Linked DNA regions of Rattus norvegicus. The protein of the gene in region 1 binds, or shares a complex with, the protein of each later gene. Links are inferred from orthologs where the notes say so. Each region holds a gene or a part of one and is shown in the gene's direction. Other genes may lie near its edges. The genes, in order: Strip1 and Pdcd10.

What was found.
Region 2: Strip1 (region 1) and Pdcd10 share a complex: the UniProt entries of both Homo sapiens proteins name them as parts of the core of STRIPAK complex. The link is inferred for Rattus norvegicus from reciprocal best matches to the Homo sapiens genes STRIP1 and PDCD10.

What each region holds. Positions count from the first base shown.
Region 1 is NC_086020.1:197,933,236-197,944,576, reverse strand, and holds the end of Strip1 (striatin-interacting protein 1), read left to right. Parts: intron 1-337; coding exon 338-403; intron 404-508; coding exon 509-572; intron 573-1,427; coding exon 1,428-1,499; intron 1,500-1,988; coding exon 1,989-2,063; intron 2,064-2,231; coding exon 2,232-2,329; intron 2,330-3,473; coding exon 3,474-3,600; intron 3,601-3,795; coding exon 3,796-3,896; intron 3,897-4,571; coding exon 4,572-4,638; intron 4,639-5,100; coding exon 5,101-5,205; intron 5,206-5,717; coding exon 5,718-5,922; intron 5,923-7,080; coding exon 7,081-7,328; 3' UTR 7,329-8,008; downstream 8,009-11,341. UniProt on the Homo sapiens protein: Plays a role in the regulation of cell morphology and cytoskeletal organization. Required in the cortical actin filament dynamics and cell shape. Part of the striatin-interacting phosphatase and kinase (STRIPAK) complexes.
Region 2 is NC_086020.1:162,607,231-162,618,624, reverse strand, and holds part of Pdcd10 (programmed cell death protein 10), read left to right. Parts: intron 1-3,980; coding exon 3,981-4,098; intron 4,099-5,189; coding exon 5,190-5,316; intron 5,317-11,394. UniProt on the Homo sapiens protein: Promotes cell proliferation. Modulates apoptotic pathways. Increases mitogen-activated protein kinase activity and STK26 activity. Important for cell migration, and for normal structure and assembly of the Golgi complex.

The sequences.
Region 1 (11,341 bases):
TAGTAGCTTGTATCTCTTACACTTCTTGGTGTTTAAAAGTGTTAAATGTTACTATTACTTGAATAAGCTGTGCTTTTAAGTTTTACATATCTCCCTAATTTGAGTCAGCTGGCCATGCATATTATAGAAATATAAACGTACTTTAAATTTATGAACCCAACAAAATTACGTAAGAAACAAAGTAGCCAGAATTCAGATTTTCCCCCTTACTGTAAGATACCTTTACCTGTCTGGGAGTAAACATCTGGAGAAGCTTTGCCTATTAGAACAGAGGCCTGTGACTGGTACACCTTGAAACAGTGCTTGATAAAATCTGCCCCTCTTTCTTGCTTGGTAGAGAGAAAGACATTGAGATGTTCCTTGAATCCAGCCGCAGCAAGTTCATAGGCTACACTCTGGGAAGGTGAGTGTGACCTGAGGTCCTTTGGAAGTTCACTGGCCTGGCCTTGGGGCAGAGGACTGGTGAGTGGCTGTCTGGGCTCAGCATAAGGCCTTCTTTATTCTCCAGTGACACCGACACAGTGGTGGGGCTGCCAAGGCCAATCCACGAAAGCATCAAGACACTGAAACAAGTAAGTGGTGCTAAGGGAACCTTTGGCTTTGTTTGGTCCCAGGAGAATAGAGTGAGCCTGGGCCAAGGGAGAGGCCTTTCAGGGCTATTGTCTGCCAGCAAGAGCCTGGGGAGTGTCTCTTCATGAGTATGCATCGTCTACAGATATGTACACATCAGTCTTTAGACTGCACGGAGCCCGCGAGTAGCCTTCCCTTTTCCTTAGCCAAGTTCTAAGACAATTGAGGGGCGTTGGCAAGTGGATATGATGCCGTCAGCTTCGGTGTTCATAGAATAGCTGGAGAGCAAGGCCTAAGAGCACCATGGTGGTGTGCTACTAGCATACTCTAGAAACCGTGCGGGCTCAGTTACCTAGTCCCAGACAGAGCTGGAGGGCAGGCAGGACCCAGGCACTCAGCACACAGGCAGGTAGAGTCTCAGACTATCTTGTTTTTCTCTCGTGCTCGCCTCTGAGGAAGCTGAGGGAACTGTGGGTGTAAGGATTAGCAGGGAGAAGACACGAAGGGTCAGGAGAGCATCTCCAATGTGTCTGAGCTGTGATATTTTTAAGTCCAGTTTTGAAATTGGTAGTCCTAGGTGGTCTGCAGCTAGGCTTCTGAGTATACAGTTAGTTTTGCCTCTGATGTCTTCTCCTGTCATTTTTGCCTCTGGAAGTCCTTTCCACTTTGCTTTGCTTTTTGCTAACTACTATGAGTTTTTCACACAGGTTGTCAGAAGTAGTTTTAAGTTAGGAATCTTGTTGTGACTTAGCCCTCTTTCAGAAGACCAAAATAAAATCTTGGGTCTTTGCCAGGTGAGGGGGGGTGTCTGGCCAGAGTTTTTCTCGCAGCACCTTCTTTCCTGCCTTTCTCCTTAGCACAAATATACATCGATTGCAGAGGTCCAGGCACAGATGGAGGAGGAATACCTTCGCTCTCCTCTCTCAGGGGTGAGTTAAGAGGCACAAAGTCCCCAACTGCTCTCAGTCTCTGAACTGGGCCTGGCCCACAAGGCTGCTCCGGGAGTCAGCCTCTCCTTGAAGAGATTCCCATCCATGTCTTTCTCTCAGTCTGTGAATGGCACCTTGAGCATGAAACTTGATCTCTCTGAGCTTTGTTTCCTACCTGTAAAAGACCAGTGTTAGACTAGTGCCTTCTCTCTTCGTTATCTAGTGTCTGTTGAGGTAACATCTATCTGTAGCCCAGATGGCCTCAAACACCTTTGTCAGCCTTTTTGGTGCTGGGTTACAGGTGTTTGCTAACGTGCACAACTGTGGTGCCTTACGCAGTATTAACCTATTCCAAGTGACATTCTTGGGATGTTTTAGAGCCTCCTGTCAGTGTCACCAGCGTCTTCACTTTGATGCTTAGAGACTCTATTCTAGCCAGCTAGTAAATGGGCTCAGGACTGTATCCTGAGCATAGGTTTTGTTTTAAAGGGAGAAGAGGAAGTTGAACAAGTTCCTGCAGAAACCCTCTATCAAGGCTTGCTCCCTAGCCTGCCTCAGTATATGGTGAGTGCTCTCTCAGTAAGCACCCGTGGTGAGGCCCTGAAGGAGCACGGCTGCTCTCCTTCACCCTACAAGGCTCCTGCCGCCTGAGGACCCTCAGGAGTCCCACTTCTCAGGGCTTCATTATGGTCCTAGGCTCTGATTCTCATCTGGGTGGTCTGTTTTTCCCAGATTGCTCTCCTGAAGATCCTGTTGGCTGCAGCTCCCACGTCAAAAGCCAAGACAGACTCCATCAACATCTTGGCAGATGTCCTGCCTGAGGAGATGCCGTGAGTATCAGTGCTGTGATGGAGGGTGGAGGGTGGACCAGGAGTCTTCAGGTGGGCTTCTTTGCTTGGCCCCGCTTTGCTGCAGGTGAAGTTTAGGGAATTTCTAGTTCAGACAAAGGTATTGATTGGACAGATTTCACTAGGTAGGGAGATGGCTTGGCCTGAATCCCAACACAGACTGTCACTGACTGAACTTGAAATGAATTAGGATGCCAGTTTTCCTTTGTAAAATAGATGAGCAGTAGGCTTTCTCAGAGTCCTTCTTCTAGAGCCGTGTGGTTGGCATATCCTGCATGGGACGGGTAGCTCCTGGTCAGTTTGCCAGCTACCACTGAGCCTGTACCTGTGTGGAGTTCTCCTACTGGCCAGTCAACTGGCAGGCAGAACTCTGGCAAATGACTCAAGAGGAGAGAGTGAAACTCTTAGCTATTCTTCCTCTCTGGCTGACAGGTCTTTTCCTGCAAGAGAACAGCCTGAGGTCATATTCTGCATTGAGAAAAGACCCAGGCCCACACCTGACCTGCTTGCTTGCCAGGGCTGCCTTGTTCTGAGCTGACCCGCAGGTCTGGTGGTGGTGGTGGCCAGGTGAGCAAGAGACAGAGATTGGCTCATACCAGAATGGGGTTCACAGAGCAGTAGGCCATCTTGATAATCCTAAGAAATATGATCAAATATTGAATTTCTTCTGAAGATTTGCAATGAGAAGTCCTGAATTAAGAAATATATAATTTAGTGCTCCCTAAATGTGTCTAACTTCAACATCCCCCACCACGCCACTGTAGAGTGAAATTTCCCACCTACTGGCATGCCACAGAACATACTTTGGGGACTCAAGTTAACAGAGTGGCCAAAGCTTAGGGAGAGTTTGGAAAAGAAGTTCAGTTTTAGAGGAGAAGCAGAGAGAAGACTGAGTGTGCATTGGAGGGAGAAGGAGGAGAAGCAGAGAGAGGACTAATTGTGCATTGGAGGGAGCTAGAAGTTGTTCCCAGTTGGGTCTCTTGGGAGCTAGAACCCTCAGGCTGACCTCTGAGAAGTTTGAGGATTGTGGGCCTTTTCCAGAGGACTCTGGAGTCTGTCTCCTCCATGGACACCTCAGAAGGACGTGCTGTGTGCTGGTGACTCACCCAGGCACTTGTGTTTCTAGCACCACAGTGTTGCAGAGCATGAAGCTGGGGGTGGATGTGAACCGCCACAAAGAGGTCATCGTTAAGGCCATTTCTGCTGTGCTGCTGCTGCTGCTCAAGCACTTCAAGTTGAACCACATCTACCAGGTACCTGTAGGGTCTGTCTGCCTTCCTATGGGCTGGGCAGGGCCTAAGCTCCCCTATCCCCTAAGTGTAGGCTTCACTTCTGAGCCCACTTGAACTTTGTGTGAGCATTCTAACATGAGGCCCTCCAGCCAAGGCCTTTTATGTGTAGAGAAAAGAGAACAAGAGGTATGCTTGATTTTCTTCTGTTGGTTTCAGTTTGAGTACATGGCCCAGCACCTGGTATTTGCCAACTGCATCCCTTTGATCCTGAAGTTCTTCAATCAAAACATCATGTCCTACATCACTGCCAAGAACAGGTAATAAGGATCAGAGACCAGAAAGGGTGGTGTAGCCAGGTGGCAGCACTTCCTGCTGTCTCCACTGAGACTTCTCAGCAGGCTTTTTCATTAAGCTTCTATGGGTTAACATTTTGCCAGGCCTGGGGAGTCAAAATGAATGACAGTGTGTCAGTTATAGGATTAGCTACTCTAGTGACTTTGTGTTTGACCAAGAGGCTCTCATCCTAGGTTCTAGAATTGTCACTTCTATCCTCCTCCCTTTCCCCTCCAGTTCTTCATACAGAGCTTGGCCTTGTGCACTATAAATCCTTGTCTGATGATTCTTGTATACACCCACCTCGTGCCCACTGTTCCCCATAGCACCTGCTTGTCAGTATGAGGCATCACATGGGAACTGTCCAGATAGCCGTGGCCTCTAAGAGGGCTTGGCATAAATCACTTGCCTTGATTCATGGTAAGGGAAAAGCTGCAATAGATGCTCCACGTCCCCTTACAGTTACTGATTACATTACAGACTCAGTCAGTCACAGAGAGACTGTACGTACTGAAGTTTATTTCTTCATCTTATAGCCAGGGAAATCAGGTTAGAACAGGCGAGGTGGATTGTTACTTCTGCTTCAACTCAATCACGGCTGCTCTGGCAGACCCAGCCTTTGCTCACAGCGAGCATCTGGGTCTTTTTGCATTCTGTAGCATTTCTGTCTTGGATTACCCTCACTGCGTGGTGAACGAGCTTCCAGAGCTAACCGCAGAGAGTCTGGTGAGTGGCTCAGATCTCCCTGGCTATCCCTTTGGTATGAGCGTTACCTCCCCCAACACAAAGGTGTCTTCCAGAAGAGGTCACCTTTGGCTTTTAAAGTACCAGAAATGGTCATAGAGTCAGGGAGAGGGCTGTTGTGGAGCAGAATGATTGGGGGTTGGGTATATGGTTATTGGGGCATGTTCTGCAGGGGCTGCTGACCTAGAACTTGCCCACTCAAGCTGTCTACACCTTCCCACTGAAGTCTGGGGCCCTGCTGCCTAGTTTTGTAGCTCATGTTTCCTGCAGGAAGAGTCTTGAATCCTGGACGCTCTGTCAACTTGTGGGTGGAGTTCCCCTTTGGCTGTTAGATGGGCATTCTAGAATCATTGAAGTCAGTCAGGCCTTTGGACATTGCACTGAGCAGCCAGTGAACAGCCTGCAGCCGTGACAGCTGTGTTTGTGTCTGGCCTTTCCCTGTAGGAAGCTGGTGACAACAACCAGTTTTGCTGGAGGAATCTCTTTTCTTGCATCAATCTGCTTCGGATCTTGAACAAGCTAACGAAGTGGAAACACTCAAGGACTATGGTGAGTGGTGAGCAACCAGCCTGGGATGTGCTGTGTCCCCTCCACCTGGGACAGGTTCTCAGGTGCGGCTTGCCTGGCAGCATTGTCCTCATTCAGGTCTGCAGACTTCTGGTTTTTTGATGAGTACAAGCAGAAGCTGGAAGAGACTCTCAGTCATGACCTCAAACAAACCTCCTGGATGGAGACACTTTGTCCTCCTCATCCTGGGTGGGAAATGATAGCCAGGAGTCAGGAACCACCTTAACCCTGGGTTGCCCATGGAACAAGGAAGGTCCATGAGTTCTCAGAAACCAGATTACAGAGTGGCCCGTAACTAGGGTGACCAACCTTTGTGGTTCGCCTATAGCTCTGCTAGTTGTAGTGCTTAAAGCTCCAGATGCCAGCAGACTAGTGAGTTCAAGAGAAACTGCATGGCTTGTCATCCCGTTTGCTACCCCAGAAGTGCTAAGGGACCGTGCAGTGGCACTCACACTTACTGCTTTCTCACCATGGCTGCCACCATGGCCGCCCAGATGCTGGTGGTGTTCAAGTCGGCGCCCATCCTGAAGCGGGCCCTGAAGGTGAAACAGGCCATGATGCAGCTCTATGTGCTGAAGCTGCTCAAGGTGCAGACCAAGTATTTGGGACGACAGTGGCGCAAGAGCAACATGAAGACGATGTCTGCCATCTACCAGAAGGTGCGGCACCGGCTGAACGACGACTGGGCTTACGGCAATGGTGAGGCCACCTGCGGCGCGGGCGGGAGAGGGTAGGGCAGGGGACGCCTTGGACTCCTTGCCTGTGGTACCTTCATTTTCTCTGCCCTTAGGCATTGAGCAGGGCCTGTATCTAGTTTTTGTGGCTCTGGGCAAGACTTTGGGAAGCTGCTGAGAATCTGCATTCATCTGTTTCTCTGTCCCTCCACTCTAAATTCCATCTTTTCTAGAATTTGCCGTAAGATTCTGCCCACTCCTCATCTCTGCTGCAGCCTCCTGGCCTACTACCTCCTGGCCTACTACCTCCTGGCTGCCTGAGTGCAGTAGATCCTCACTGGCTCTGCTCTAGCTTCTCCTCCCACTGTCGGCCTCAGATTTGGCTCCTGTAATCTTTTCAACATACGCATCCTGTACTGTTGCCTCCTGAGTAAAATTCCTGATTAGCTTTCTAATTCCCTTAGGAATGAAATCAAACGTTAAGACAGGGACGGGTGCTCACTCACTCACTCGCCTGGTCCCATAGTCTGTGGCTTTCTTTTCTGTCACACCCAAGTCTCTGTCACACCCAAGACTCCAGACAGAGTATGACCCTCAGTACCTGCTGAGCATTGCTCCCAGGAGCGCTGCAGATCCCAGCAGCCACAGATAGCCACGCTCTCCAGTGTCCTGCTGAGCCTGCAGACAGACTGCACAGGGGCAGGGGAAACCATCCTTAGTCCCTGAGCGTTAGCAGTGTTCTTCCTGCTTCTGGGCCTCTGTAGACTGCTGGCTGTCTACAGCGTCTTCTCCCAGTCTGCTGTTGTCTGTGTGGGTGTTGCTGTGTTACATCTCTCTGTAACTCTATACCTGGCATCTGGGCTCAAGGTGGTGCATGACGTTTGTCATGGAGGTGAGAGAATGAGCAGATGAGGGACTGTAGGGTTATGTGTCTGTCCTCTGGAGCCAAGGGGAGGCTGTGCTTAATAAAGAGTTTGGTTCCCCCTCCTGGAGGGGCAGGAGGCTTTCCCATCTATCTGCAAGTTTCTTTTTCAGCGTTAAGGATTGTCTCCTTAGATTTGACCGTACTTCTGGGAAAGAATTTCTATTCAGCTTTCTGAGGGTTTGGGAGTGATCCTTTTGGTTAAAATCATGAGGAGCTATATAGGGCTGAATCCTAACTGGGTTTTCCTGCTTTTCCCAGATCTCGATGCCCGGCCATGGGACTTCCAAGCAGAGGAGTGTGCTCTCCGTGCCAACATTGAACGCTTCAATGCCCGGCGCTATGACCGGACCCACAGCAACCCTGACTTCTTGCCAGTGGACAATTGCCTGCAGAGCGTCTTGGGCCAACGGGTAGATCTTCCTGAGGACTTCCAGATGAACTATGACCTATGGCTAGAAAGGGAGGTCTTCTCTAAGCCCATTTCCTGGGAAGAGCTGCTGCAGTGAGGAGGGATGAAAAAGACTGTGATCTGTCTCATACCCGAGGGACTGTCCTTGCCATTGCTGCAGTGCTCCTGTTGCCCTCCAGGTGGCAGCACAACTCCATTGAGTCCTCCAGAACCAGTCCTGGGCCCGTGAGTGAACCCAGGTTAGCCTCTGGTTGATTCCCAGCATCCTACTCAGGAGCAGTCATCTCCAAGCTGGGATCTACTCTTCCTCCACTTCCCCAGTTTCTACCCTCCTCCCTTGGATTGACTGCGTGAAACTCATTTCACAAGTAGCCCCAGGCTGGGAAAAGCTGAGAAGGGCCTTGTGTCCCTTCTCATCGGCAGCTGTGTCTTGAGGCCATGCTGACTCCTGAGCTGCTTTGGCACGTCAGTTGGTCAAGAAGGAGGGGTGGCATGAGGGCCAGGAACAGAGTCAGCGCCTTGGTTGTGCTCTGGGGGTATCTCGTGTCATTCCGGTATCCTGCTGAGTTTTGTCCAGAAGTGATAGATACCACAGCCTCTGCACCCTGGTTTTGGATGTGGTCAAAAGTGGAGTGAGGCTTCCTGAAGCCAGAGGTGCTGGTTTCTTCTTGATTGTCATGGCCTGTAAATATACAAAACTCTGTGTGGTCTCATGTCATGGTGGGGTTTTTAATGTGTTTGTGTATTCTGTTTACATTAAAAGAAAGCAAAACTGTCCCTGTCGCCTTGTCTGTAGATGCAGGTTCTGGGGACTGGGGATGTAGCACAGGTGATCGAGTGCTTACTTAGCAGGTAAGAAGCCCTGGGTTCCATCCGCACACAGCACCACATAGGACAGGCATAGCAGTGCACACACTTGTAATCTCAGCACTTGAGAGGGGGAAGCAGGCGAATCAGAAGTTCTAGGTCAGCTTTGGCTAAATAGTTCAAGTTCAGTCTAGGCTGTGTAAGGTTCTCTCATAGAAATGTCTGAAAATTGTCAGTTTTCAAAAGTATCTCTTCCTCCGCCCAGCTAAGTGCTTGCCTGTCTTCCTGCCTTTCCTACTAGTGTACAGGGAAGGAGGACGTGGTACTTTGGTCATCTACCCACGTCAGTCTGGATTACTTTAAGGTTCTGGGTTTGCTGGGGATCAGTGTTCCTGACTCCTGGGCTTGCTATAGTTTCAGTAGAAACTTCAGATTTCTCAGGATGACATTCCTTAGCTGCCCTCACACAAGCCAGTTAGTGCTAGGTTTAAGTGAAGTCACTTGGTTCGGTCTTCACTGGGACAGAGGTGTTTGGGACAAGGAGGAGAGTTAGTTGTGTGTATCAAAGGAATCAGTTTCATGTGGGAGAGCAATGGAGAGAGCAGGTGTCCTATGGCTAAGGGAGAAACAAGGGGAACAGGACCGTTTAAGTCCTAGAACCTCACTTGGCTCAGATATCAGCCTCAGCCTCTTTTTCTTCAGACTTAACCCCCTCGTGATTTTAGTGACAGACTGCTCTTTCTCATAATTCCTAGACGCTCCCTGTAGGCAACATGTATGCGGTCTTAAGTCTCTAGGGGGAGAGCCTTGACTGATAGAGGAAATGTTCCAGGGCAAGTCTGTTTGGTTGGTATTTAGATACAGTGCCTGCTGGGTCTGCGACCTGCTGAGCCCCAGGATGTGCTTTAATGTGGTGGCATAGTTAATAATAGCCAGGTGGAAGGGTCAGAACATGAAAGTCACAAAGCCTTATGGGCTGGAAAGTCCCTATGACTAGCTCTTTTCCCCCCAAAGCAACTTGCATAGGACAATGGAGTCTCATCGTTCTTGTTTGCATGGTGGGTCTGCTGTTTGCGTGCTAGAACAAGGAAGTATAGATGTGGAAATACCTGAGAAACGTGGGTTTCACGTTCTTAATCCAACATGCATCTAGCTCTCTGAAATCGCTTAGCCTGGTGCTTTGACTTCCCCTGCTCCTCTTTGCAGACATCCCAGGCTCTCTTCTTCCTTAAAGAAGAGAACAAAAACCATAAACCATAAGGCAATGAGCCAGGGCAGATGAATCCCTTCATCTTTAGATTCAGGTGCCGGCCCCAAGAAAGAGCAAAGCAGCTTCTCTGACTGGCATGTTACTGTCATGTTGCCTTTAAAACCCAGGTCCTTGTGTGTAAACATCTTGGAGACACCTAATTTCGGGCTATTTCATCTGGGTAATGAGAGGAACATGAAGACGCTCTGAAAATGGTTGAGTTACACAGAAGGGTCCAGTTCTCCTTAATGTACCAAGGAATAGATTACTGTGTGACTGTGGACCATGCCAGGAGACTTAGTAAGGGCACCCAGGTGCCCGCCTGAGACAGTAGGCAGCTCCCTGTTCCCTCTAGATTCCTGCCCAGAACACGTGCCATGCTTCCACATGGGACACTGAAGTTCTGGGCTGTTGCACCATAGGTCATGTGGCCCAGAACAAAGTTCTCCGTGTTAATGAGGTATCTAAAGGCCCTGGGGGTTTAGCTAATAAGCTTCCCTTCCCAGATTCCTTCCTGCAAAAAGTATTTAATCTCTGGTCCACCCTTAGGAGCTGGTACACATCTGTTTTCCAGGATGAACAGTCAGTAAACAATGTGGATAAACATGGACTGTCTCATCGAGAACTGCAATGGCGAGCATGAACAATGCCTTCGACTACCAAGCCGCTGCCCGAGTCTCCCACAGAAGGCCTCTCTGTGTTCCCAGACAACCATGGCTAAGCTAAGGACTTTCACTGATGAGCTAAGGCTGAGATCCCCATTCCCATGGGCCCCGGAATAGTCCTCAGCCCAAGGGCCCTCAACTCCCTTCTGACTCCTCTGTGTGATACCCCAGCAGTGACTGTATGCCCAGAAGTCATGGAACCCCAGCTTCAGCCCCCCACATCCTAGGCTGCATTTCCCTCCCCCAGAGTGGTGCTTCTTAAAGCCCAGCACCTAGTGCTCCCACTTTTCGCCTCCCCAGTGTTGCTTCCATACCAACCTACATTTCCCCTAGGCTAGTATCATCTCAGAAGATCCACAGGGACCCGACACTGTAAGGTGTCTGTTAGTCGAATTCTCCACATAGTGGTTAGCAATAAACAACTTGTGTCACAATAGCCCCGTGTGATGGTTCCTCTTCACTATCAACTTGACTGGATTTAGAAATCACCTGAAAAAGACACTTCAGTATGTGTGTCTGTGGGGACATTTCCAGAGAGGTTTAATGGAGGAAGGAAGGCTTACCCTAAATGTGGGAGGCCCCACTGCATAGGCTGAATAAAGGAAAAAGTGAGAAAGTGTATTGAGCACTGGTGTTCATCTGTTTTCTGTGAACAGACAGAATGTGACCAGCCACCCCACACTCCTTTCACCATGGCTCCTCCATGATGGCTGTATCCCCTATAACTAGGAGCCAAACAAGCCCTTCTTTAAGTTGCCTTTGCCAGATATGTTGCCATAGCAACAAGAGAAGGAGCGACTGTACCGTGAAAGTAAATGCCACCATGGACCCCATTTTGCAGATGTGCAAACTGGCACAGAAAGGGTAAAGAACTTGCCCAAGGGCATAAGAAATAAGGGATAGAGCTAGGATTCAAACGCAGTCTCCACAGTAAACATGTGCTCCCTGCCCCCACCTTCTTAACCATTGTCATCCCTGGGCACTCAGGGCCACTGCTCAGTTATTCATTTGTAAGCCATACTTGCTTGGTATTGGCTCTGACATGGTCCCTAGTGCAGAAGATTCATGGCAAATGTCCCTTGCTTTAGGCCCTAACTGGGCCACCCAGGCTTAGCCTTGTCTTAGCTATTGGCTAACCCTGAGTGTACCCTCAAAGGAACTTGAATTATTGTGGTGGGGTGTGTGTGTGTGTGTGTGTGTGTGTGTGTGTGTGTGTGTGTGTGTGCGCGCGCGCGCTTTGGTTTTGTTTTGTTTGACACATTAGTGGTTGCATCCAGGGCTTTATACACACTAGGCGAGCGCTCTGCCGCTGGGATACAGCCTAAGCACTCTCTAGTTTTTATTTTGAGGCAAGGTCTCAGTAAACCTACCCAGACTGGTCTTGAACTA
Region 2 (11,394 bases), about 35 Mb from region 1:
TAGAGAAAAATTAAGTGTTTACTTGATTTCATATTTGTTCTCGGTATATTTCTGTTGTTTAGCCATACTCTAGAGAGTATTGAGCATATTGTTTTAAAATGTTATGTGCCCCCCCAAATTAATTTTTATTTACTTAGAAATCCTCATCAACTAAAATATCTTATTTTGAAGTCAAAATGTGTTAATGTTTAAATTAAGAATAAGTTTAAATTTTTAGTAGCTGTTGCTTTAGTGATATACAAAACACTAGTGAAACAATGTATCCTTGAGAAATTTTTTTATGACACTGTAACAAAAATACAGTTGTATGACCAAGACAGATCTGCATATCTGGGTTTCCCATGGATACATTACATTTATTATCCACAGCACTCATATTTTAGTGTTGTTTTACTTTATTTGTTTATTTACTGCTGAGCTAAAGTCTTAAAGTTACACAAGTCTAGCCTTGATCTTCGACCTTCCAATGAGCCTGGTCTCAGCCCTCCCAAGTACTGGAAACTATAGGCATCTACTATTCTGCTTCAAGTTCACAACAATATTTCTTACTTCCAAAAATGGTGAAGATTATTTAAGGGGAACATGGACCTCATATTAAGCAGCGATTTATTGTTGACTGTTAAAGCTAGTTAGATCTCAAATAAAACTGAAGAAAACTATGCAGGAAAGGTGAGTTTGAGAAACTGGAGAGAGAGGTCAAAGGTTCTAGGGGACCTAAAATCAGCTCCAGGCGCCACAGCAGGAGGCTCCTGACCTTTTATACCTGCAGCTCTAGGAAACTCTGCCTCTAGCCTACTCAGGTACTCACACTTACTTACCTGCAACCACATAATTAAAGTAATGAAAATAAACTTTAAAAACGTTCTTTTTGGAGCTGGGGAGATGGCTCGGCGGTTAAGAGCACTGACTGCTCTCCAGAGGTCCTGAGTTCAATTCCCAGCAACCACATGGTGGCTCACGGCCATCTGTAATGGGATCCGATGCCCTCTTCTGGTGTGTCGGAGGGCAGCAACTGTGTACTCATTAAAAAATTTTTCTTTTTGAAATGACAAAAAAATTAGTGAACTACTTTTTTATATCCGTATTCCCAGTTGTATTATACAGTATTTTTTAGTCACATCATATCAAATTGCCTGTTTTTATTTTCAGAAAAAGAGAATAATCTTCTCAAAATAAAAATATATCACGATTTTTATTAACATATCCATTTTGCTTGATTAGCATTTACCTTGCTTGACCTTCTTGTCAGCTGCCGACATGGTGTGCTGTCTCCTACATTGGTAATCTATGAAACTATGCTTTTACACTGTGGTCTGTTTTTCTCTTTCATTAGAGTCTTTACAAAGATTGAGTACCCATCAAGTTCCAGGTTCAGATTTATCAAGAGCAGATAGCGTCTCTGATCTAAGAGCAGAGGTTTCAAATGTATTGATTGAATTTGAATTTTTGAATATTTAGCCAGGACTTGATCCTTCACAGGGATCACCTAAGACTATATTAATACTACAATTCATAACAGTTGAAAAATTACAGTTATGAAATAGCAAAAAAATTATTTTTATGCAACATGAGGAACTATATTAAATGGTTGCAGCACTAAGAAGGTTGAGAAAACCACTGCACCAAGACATAATTTCCAACAGTTGTGCCCAGCTGCCCTGCAAACCTAGTGGGTTGTGTAAAGTGTTTTAGAAAAATGAGTACTGTGAAACTAACATCTGTTTACATTGTGAACTTCTTTAGAAGTAGTTTGTGATTTCAACATACTAGATTGATCTGCATTCTTTGAAATGATGGCCTGTCTTTGAGGAACTACTAAAAGCAAGTACCAGAAAAAGGAAAAAAAAAAAAATCAATGTGCAGGGGGAAATGAGAATGGTGGTGCCAATCTAAGTCCGGTGTTTGAGAAACTACAGTGCTCAGGAAGTGCAAACATCCCATTAATTAGTACATAGCAATAGATAAAATATTGTCTATTTTGTTGTGTACAAAGTTTTGGGATAACTCTGTTATTAGGATATACCACTTCCCTAAGATATTTGTACTACCTAAACTACGGAATAAACTGCATTTGGCTCTCAGCTCTGAGAACTGGGAAAGCTCAGGGCCTCTGTGAGACTTCTGCATTTTCCACTGCTGACCTTTTGCTGTGCCAAATCAAACTAGTATTAAAAACTTTGTGTGCAGACTTAGATTTAATTCTTTCAGCACTTTAACTTAATTAGCAAGCTGTTTCTCTGCAGCTATTTCCTGTAAACACCATGCCCCCAAGATAATTCATTATGTAGGTGGACTTAATGCTACTTGGACAAGGAAGATAAACAACTGTTATGAAATAAGCATCTAGTATAATTTTTGGCAGTTCAGGAAACTAAGACTATAATAGCTCATTTAACCAAATTTGAATCATTTTTCTTTTGAGGGTTACCTTGACGAAACAGAATTTAGATGCTGCAAGAACAGTGATCCATCCCATGTGTATATTTTGTGCCTTTCCCCACTTCAGTTCATAACCTCTAAGGTTTTCCTACTTGAGATCTCAAGAGTGTTTTAAGAAAGTGATGAACACAAGAAAACTGTAACCTCGGTGACATTAGGATGGAGCTCCAGAGTCAGAGAGGTTAATTGTGTTTGAAACTCAGGAAGCTGAATGAGTGTCATTGGATCAAGATTAGAAATTATGCTTCTACATGATTATTAGGATAAAAGAAAAACTGTTATATAGATTTAATTGGCAGGCATCCTTAAGGAGACACAATTTCAATTTGATTAAAAAAATTTAAGTAATGGAATAGACTAAATTACTGTGAAAGTGGAAGTACAAAACTTGCCTTTATATTCAATCTTGGCATGGCTAGATTCTAGGGCCCTAAGAGATGTGCATTTATTTATAATGCTCCACATTATCTATCGTGCTCTGTCGGTAGCTTTCCAGGGTACTCTAGAGGGCTGCTGGGAAGGCTCCATGCAGAAATGCAATTGTCAAGCAAACCTGATGTGCAAAATTCAATTCCCCGAGCCCATGCAAAGTGGGAGAAGAAAAGTGACTCCCCGGAGCTGTCCTATCACTTATACTTGTACATGGGTACTTGCCTATGGCCAAGCAACGCGCGCGCGCGCACACACACACACACACACATACACATCCCAGTAACAGTAAATAAAAAATCAAATTTCAATGAGTGATAATTTAAAAACCATTGAACAAAATTTCTTGCTATAAAGCTAAAATGAGAAATGGAAATTATTCTATGAAAAGTAGGTAAGTGAATAAATCAATTTTACTTAAAAGTGCAAAAGCTACCCTAGTGTTTTATTTAGCTTTTCCTGGTATTTAATTCTAATACAGCACATATTCCAAAAACATTTGATGAGTTATTATTGCCCATCTAAGATGAAATATTATATATGCTAAAATGTCTCAGTGTATTCATGATAAGAGCAATCTATCATAAAGAGATTTTGTCATTGTTGGTTGACTGAGAGAAGACATAATAGAAAGGCAAGGAATGCTCGGTGTGTCTGTGACTTTGCACATGATAAAAGCTTCTGACGTATAAGCTGAGCAAAGCTGATGGTGCCCTTAGTGGCACCGTGTCACCGATGCTTTCTGTTCTTATAAGTAAATAAATTCTTAACAATTAAGTTTTAGCTTTAAAATGCTGATCACATTTCTGTATTTCAAAACTAGAGATATTTTTTATAGGAAAACATGAGAAGTGTAAGGATTTTTTACCTTTTTATTAATTCTTTATGAATTTTGCATCATGTATGCCAGTCCCACTCATCTTCCCATCCATCCCCTTGTATCTGCCCCTTGTCCTTGAAACCTCCCTCCAAAATAAAGAAACAGACAAACAAAAAACAAAGCATGGGAAGCATCTCATTGTGGAAGCAGTGTTTCTCACAGTATATCCCTCTGTCACAGAAGCCAGAGATCTCGAACCAGACAGTTGACTCATTACATGTTTTTCTTGCAGGCTGAAAAGGAAAATCCAGGCCTCACACAAGACATCATTATGAAAATCTTAGAGAAAAAAAGTGTAGAAGTTAACTTCACTGAGTCCCTTCTTCGTATGGCAGCTGATGACGTAGAAGGTACCAGAACGAAGACTTGTGTTTAGTTTCTCCATTCTTGAGAAGCACTTCCTTCAGATCATTACCAGTTGTCCCCCTTCCTTCATGCTTCTTGTGATGGTAGTGGACATTATCTGTAAAAGGAAACAAGCAGACTCTTTAACTTTTCTGTATTTGTCAAATTTAGTTAAGTGACATATTTGTTGATACAACACACTTTTATCTTTTTGCCCATTAATATAGGGATCGACAAATTTCAAATTCACTGAAAGTTCTGAGAAATATTCTGTGTAGCATTTGAAAGAAGTGAGCCGTTTTTAAGTTGATGAGCTTCCTACTAGACAGTGAGCCTGGTAGTAAGAAGCCTTTTTATCTACCAAGTCTGACTGAGACTTCTTTTTAAAAGCCATTTTAGGAGCCCAGCCTATATGTTGAGCTTGTATTGGCCTTTGTTTTCAAATGAAATTTTAAGAATATACTGAAAATTGTAGGAAGTTTGTGATTATAATATAATGAACTACAGTATATTTCACATTGTAGACATTTTAATATGAGCCAAAGTATGTTCAACACGATGTGGTTTTAGTATGATGAACCATAAAATATTCTACACTATAGTAGATTCAGTACTGTAGGAGTTTTAATATTATTGCCCATCACATATTCAATACTAAAGGAAGCTTAATAAAGTAGGCTGTACTACATTCCACACTATAGGGGTTTTAAGTTTCTGAATTCCCCTTTCCTTTTTACAAATATGTAAATGACCTACTTCTTCTTTATGAGTGTCATTATTTAAGATCTCATGGGACATCAATACAGAACATCAGGACTCATGAGTTAAGGAGCCTCCTTTCTTTAAATCAATGGATGGGTGGATTATTTAAGATTGTATTACATTTCCTCATATATCTCAAAGATATGTAGTCTTACTCTGTTTTACTTTAGAAATTATTTATTTATTTTTACACCTGACCAAGTTGAACTTTGTTTCTGTTTTCGGACTAAATGACTGTCTTCCCACTCTATCCTTCCTTTAGTCTGCATTGGGAGTTGTTAGATTGAATTTGTCGGAGTCACATGACATTTTTATTGTGTTTCTGTTTTATCAGAGTACATGATTGAACGACCAGAGCCAGAATTCCAGGACCTAAATGAAAAGGCACGGGCACTTAAACAGATTCTCAGTAAGATTCCAGACGAGATCAATGACAGAGTGAGGTTTCTGCAGACAATCAAGTAAGTGAGGTTTTTACTTTGATTTATTTAAAAACAATCATTAATTCTGTTTATTTTGATAGGAATTTTATTAAAATATTAAGTTGTAATAAAACCTGAAATTTTGAATGCCATGGACTTTGGACATAATGGCCTCAGAGTATCCTGACATTTTAGAATGTTTAATTGTCAATAATGAATCAAATAACTTAAACCATATAAATTAAACTTTATGTGGAAATTTGAAAGGTCTGGCTCCCGTAGACTCATTCTTTGAGTGTTTGGCCCATGAGGAATGGCACTTTTAGGAGCTGTAGCCTTGTTAGAGTAGTCAAGGCCTTGGAGAAAGATCGTCCCTGTGGGGGTTGGCAATGAGGTCTGAATGCTCAAGCTCTACCCAGTGTGGAAAGACAGCCTCTTCCTGGGCGCCTGCAGAAGACTAGTCTCCTGCCTGTGTTCAGATCAAGATGTAGAATTCTTGGGTCCTCCAGCACCAAGTCTGCCTACATAATGCCATGCTTCCCACCGTGATGGTATTAGACTGAACTTCTGAAACTGTAAGTCAGCCCCAACTAAAAGTTTGCCTTTGTGACCTTAGTATTATGTCCTTTTAAAGCAATAAAATGCTAAGACAGTATATATACAAATTCTGTAAATAACCTGTATATTTCAGACAAAAGCAAATGTAGGCACTATGTTGGTAGCCAGAAAGTTCCAATGTTGCTTTCCTTTCAAAAGTGGCATAAATCATCGGAATAAATGAATATATAGATGTGAATGGAGTTTTTTGATATTTACCAAGTTGAACCTCTAAATCCTTGCTTTTGGATTATAGGTTAAGTAACAAGGGCTAAGAAGCTGGGCAGCAAAGGAGTAGTGAGTTCTAGAGAGCTGGGTGTCAGACTGAGCCAAATAACTCACAGCCTATTGAGAAAAGCCAAGGCAGAATTCTGGAGGCAAGAACTGAAGTAGAGGCCATGGAGGAGTGCTGTTTACCAGCTGGCTCATGATCACTGTTACACACTTCATGACTACCTCCCCAGGAGTAATTCCTCCCACACATCAGGCTTCAAACCGAAAATTCCCCCCAGGTTCACTATAGCCAATGTCATGGATACATTTTCTCAACTGAGGTGTCCTCTTCTCAGAAGACCCTAGCTTGTGTCAGGTTGACAAAATCACCAACCTAACACCTTTGAGGGTTGTACTAGTGAATGATGGAAATACTTTCTAGCTAAGTGTCTGTGGTAATTCTCTTCAGCCTCATAGCTAGAAAGCAGCACAAGCTGGAATAATTGTATCTGCAATTAATGTAGTGCTTCGGGGAAGCCATAGGTAAAGGTTTCTGGGAAGCATAGTTTTATTAGCATGGTTATGTGGCATAGGCTAAATTGTGTGTTACCTTGAAACCATAAAAAGAAACCACATGAAGTAAGTGCCAGTTTTGTGCTCAGGAATATCCTCTTTGACATTCACTACAAAATGCTCTGTTAAATGTTTGGAGCATATGTTTTGAATGATAAGGAAAGAAACAAGATTATGTTGCAGCATAAGCACTTCTTTGTATTAATATGTTAATGATATAGTATTAATAATTATTTCCCTGAAAGATGAAGAGAATGAGCCACAAATAAAAGTAAGTTATATTCCTAAGGGTATAGGGCAGCATTCTCTGCTATGTTCCATTCCTATATTGATGTTGATCTAATCATGTGCAGACAGGCTTCTGCTATTTGAATGAAATGTGATAATGATATCTTCTATTGAATGTCAGTAGACTAGAGAGGAGTATTACAGTGTACACCAAGGCAGAAAGGATAGCACCAGAAATGGCATCCTCATGATAGTTTCTGCCCTCCAAGGCAGTGTTTCTCAATCTGTTCGTCAGGACCTCTTTGGGGTCACATATTAGATATTCCACATATCACATATTTACATTAGGGTTCATAACAGTAGTAAAATTATAGGTATGAAGTAGCAACAATATAATTTTATGGTTGGGGTTCACTTAACACGAGGAACGTGTTAGAAAGATTAAGAACCACTACATTAGGAAGTCTCTTTAACCTGCTGTGGTTTCTAGGAAATAGAGTGCAAGTCACATTATGAGCAGTTAAGGTCCTGATCAATCAATCCCTTGAGAGTTTGCCTGTAGTTTTTAACAAAGGCTTAGGCGTTGCAATTTTACTTCTACTTTTTGAATGCACTAATAGAGTAACGGCAGTGGAAATGTATTTTGTATACATTTCAGGATTCATTTGTCTTATGTTTTTGGATGTTCACATTATTTGGGAAAAGAGAAGTCAATCGAGTATGAATAGTGCAGATGGCTACAATTTAGTTTTTTTAACAAATCATACTTTTTCATATTTAAATTAGTAATCCTACTTTCCCATATTTTGCTACTTTTAAGCCAGTATGACCTACTGTACCAAATTTTATGGGAATATAAATATTGCTGTCAGTTATCACAGATTTCATCTGCTGTAAATTATTTATATCTAAAAGAGTTATTGTATCTCAATTCTTTATCTGGTTCACTGGCTAAGTATTCCTTTGTGCTGTTATGTTCTTAGGTAATTTGCTAATTCTCAGGTGATTACTAATATAATTCAATGTCCCTAGTGCAAACCTTGGTGCTGTAAACAATGTTATACTGTCTATCTATGGATAATTTATTCAATGTAAGTTATTTCAGGATGTTTTTCAAGAACATTTTTCAGCAGCTGGGTAAGTCGCCGTGATTTGCCTGATCTTCTAGTAGCAGGCTTAGCTGCACATTCCCAAATAGCAGAGGATTGAAAATGTGGCTCATCCATACTTGTGTAGACTCTTAATTGTATTGTAATAGATAGCCAGGAATACAAAGGTTATATGTATCAGTGGGAGCCATGTGATGTCTAACACATGTTTGCCTTGTGTAAACTTAAAAATCCTAGGTCGTTTTTTAAAAATTGGCATGTAATTGTTATGTATAGTCACTCTACTTACTATGCAGTACCACGCCATAATTTGTTCCTGTCTAACTGTGACTTAGTATTCAATGATCATACTTTCCCTGTACTCCTTCCTCCACTCTTCCCAGCCTCTCCTCACAACCATTTACTTTCAACTGTTATCAAATCAACATCTTTAGACTCTCCTTCCAAGTGAAATTATATGGTGTTGTTTTTTCTCTATGAGTTATTTCATCTAACAATAGTGTCTTATTCCATTCATATTATCATAGATTACAGGATTTCATTGTTTTTCACTGTTGAATAGTATCCAGTATATCTGTACTGGGTTTTTCCATTCATCCAGCAGTTGATGAACACCAGACTTGTTTACTATTTTTTGACTATTTTGTGAACAGCTCTGGTGAACATGGGAGTGTAGAACATCTATTTGATAGACTTATTTCATCGTGTTAGATGTGTACCCAAGCAGTGAAATGACTAGTACTGTTGTCCACATAACATGCTGATAATTTACACTCCCACCCTCAGTGTTTGTGGCTCTGCTTTTCTCTGCAGCCTTGCCAACATTCCTTACTTTGTGTTGCTATCACTGTGGCTGAAATGATGGCTTATTATGCTTTTGATTTGTGTTTCTTTGTTACTTAGCAGTATTGTCTTATCACCTACTTTTAGTGTCATTAGTTAGACACTGATGTTTTTAAAAATGTCTGTTTGAGTTTCTTGTCCATTTTTTAATCTGTTTTATTTTGCTACAGTGTTTTATGTTGTTATCTGGTGTTGGGGTAATCTTGTTTCTTAGAATTTATTGGGAGGTTGGAATAAAGGAGAATTTAGTAGTAATTTTGTTCATTGGTACATTGTTAAGATTTATTGCTCAGAAATTAAAGAGAGAAGATTCTCTTATGCTCAAGCCTTTCTCTGTGGCCCACATAGGGTGAAGGCCTTTTTCACAGTACCTGGCCTAAGGTCTGACTTTTTACAGGGTTGTCTTTGGCTTCAGACAGAGTCATTGCATGGAGCAGTACTCGAGTACTGTCTTGTAGCTGTGACCACCATACCACTAATCTCTGTCATGCTCCAAGCCCCTGGGCAATGAAGACCACTGTATTGGAAAATTAGAACCAAGACCCTTTCTTGCAAAGTCTCCTGGTTTTCAGTATACATATAATCCGAGAAAATACTAGGTATCAGTGATGCTTCTAGATTAGAAGTCTAATAGAGGAGGGTTCATGTTCCTAGGTTATTTAGAGCTGTTCAGGAAGCTCTGCTGACACCATCACCTGGGAAACTGCTCAGCATCAAGCATCTGGCTTTAAGTTGAGAACTCATACCAGGTTTTGTTATGCGTAAGTCCCAGGTATACCTCACCTTTTGTGGTAGCCAGCAGTGTTGCAAGCCAAACTAGTTAGATGCTGGGACAGTGCTGGAATCCCATTATGAGCTTAGACCTAATTATAGCTATGCTACTTGGGTGGAGGAGGGAGCCACAAATTAATAATGCAAAGTTGAGTTGTACCTAAACCTTAGCCCCAGAGATCTGAGTTGTACCTAAACCTTAGCCCCAGAGATCTGCATAAGTCTCGTCAGGTAGCATAACCATGAGCTGCAAATGTACAGACCTCTGCCCAATAACAGAGCTGGTCCTAGGCTGTTTGAAGCTCGCTCTCTCTCTCTCTCTCTCTCTCTCTCTCTCTCTCTCTCTCTCTCTCTCTCTCTCTCTCTCATACAGGGCCTCAGTGTCTCTAGGTGCTTGCTTTTCCTCACTGTGGACTTAGACCTAACAGTGAGACAGAGCTGTCCTGTTCTTCCTCCCAGCTTATTCTGTAGAACATAGCTTGTCCAGGCCGTTAGGCTCCTAGCCTGATGCTGTTCTAGCAGCTAAGTTCCTGGCCCCAGCAGCAAGTTACTAGGCTTTTGTCTAGCCCTGGGTCCTGCTGTGGCTTTGCTAAAGCTGTTCTATCCCTGGGCCATGAACAATTTTCTTTTCTTCTAACTGAGAGGTACCTTGCTTTGCTCTGGGCTTCTTGAAGTTGAAAGACAAGGATGATGGATACCCTTTCCTTCCTGTTAAGTGCAGCTAAAACCAGGCTCTGTAGTCACTCACCTGATTACCCTAGCTTTGTGCCGATATTTTGGTATTTGTGATGGCTCTGTGATTTGCTGTCTGAGGAAAGCCTCGCTAGAGACTGTGATTCAGCAGCTGTCATCATGCTCGCCTTTCAGATTCCCAGTTCTCAAAAGCAAAGCCCTTTCTCTTCTTCCTGACTTGCTTTTCTTGCCAGATAAGTTAAGCAGTCTCTTTCTGAGCTCTCACTTGACCTGCTCTGTCCAGCCATTTCTGTTATAATCTCTTTCTCACTAGCCATGGCAACAAGTTAATAATTATTTTTTGTAGAATACTAAAATACGCTTAAAAAATGATGTTACATTTACATATCTATGTGATCACTGTTACCTTCTTTATTTTAGTTAGCTCCATTGTAGATTTAGTGAAACTTTCTTTCATATGAAGATTTAACATTTTATATTGGTTACAAGTATAATTTTTCTCAAAAATACAGCAAGGTTCAGTGACACAATTTTACTAAATATGATGGACTATGCCCTTCACATCAAAGCAAAATATTGAAGTTGTTTGAAAATAGAGAGGCTCTTCCATGATTTAGGCTGCAACTATTAAATAAGGAGCAGTGGTGGTAAATGGCTAGGTGTTATTTCTGTGTGAAAATAATTCTACTCCACTAGGGAACGTTTTATGTTCTACCCTAATATCAGTGCTTTGCATGTAAGAGATGGTGTATATTCATCATGTTTGGAAAAAATGGTGTTACTACTCCAGAATGAGCTGAAGTACTTCATGAACTGAGAAAATTAAGTATGTAAATGGATAGTCTGGCGTTGGTAGAGAGTGTGCCTTGCATGTGTAAAGAGTAGGATTTAATTCCTAACAGTGCACTGGGAATGATTTCACTCTGGATATGAATCCAAGAGGATCATAGAAGTTCACAGTTTTTGTTTACATGTAGAGTTCAAAGCTACCCTGGTTACTTGATATCTTGTCTCAAAAACAAAAAGATAATGGCTATAGATAGAGATGTAGATGAATAGCCAGCCATGTGGTGCATACCTTTAATCCCAG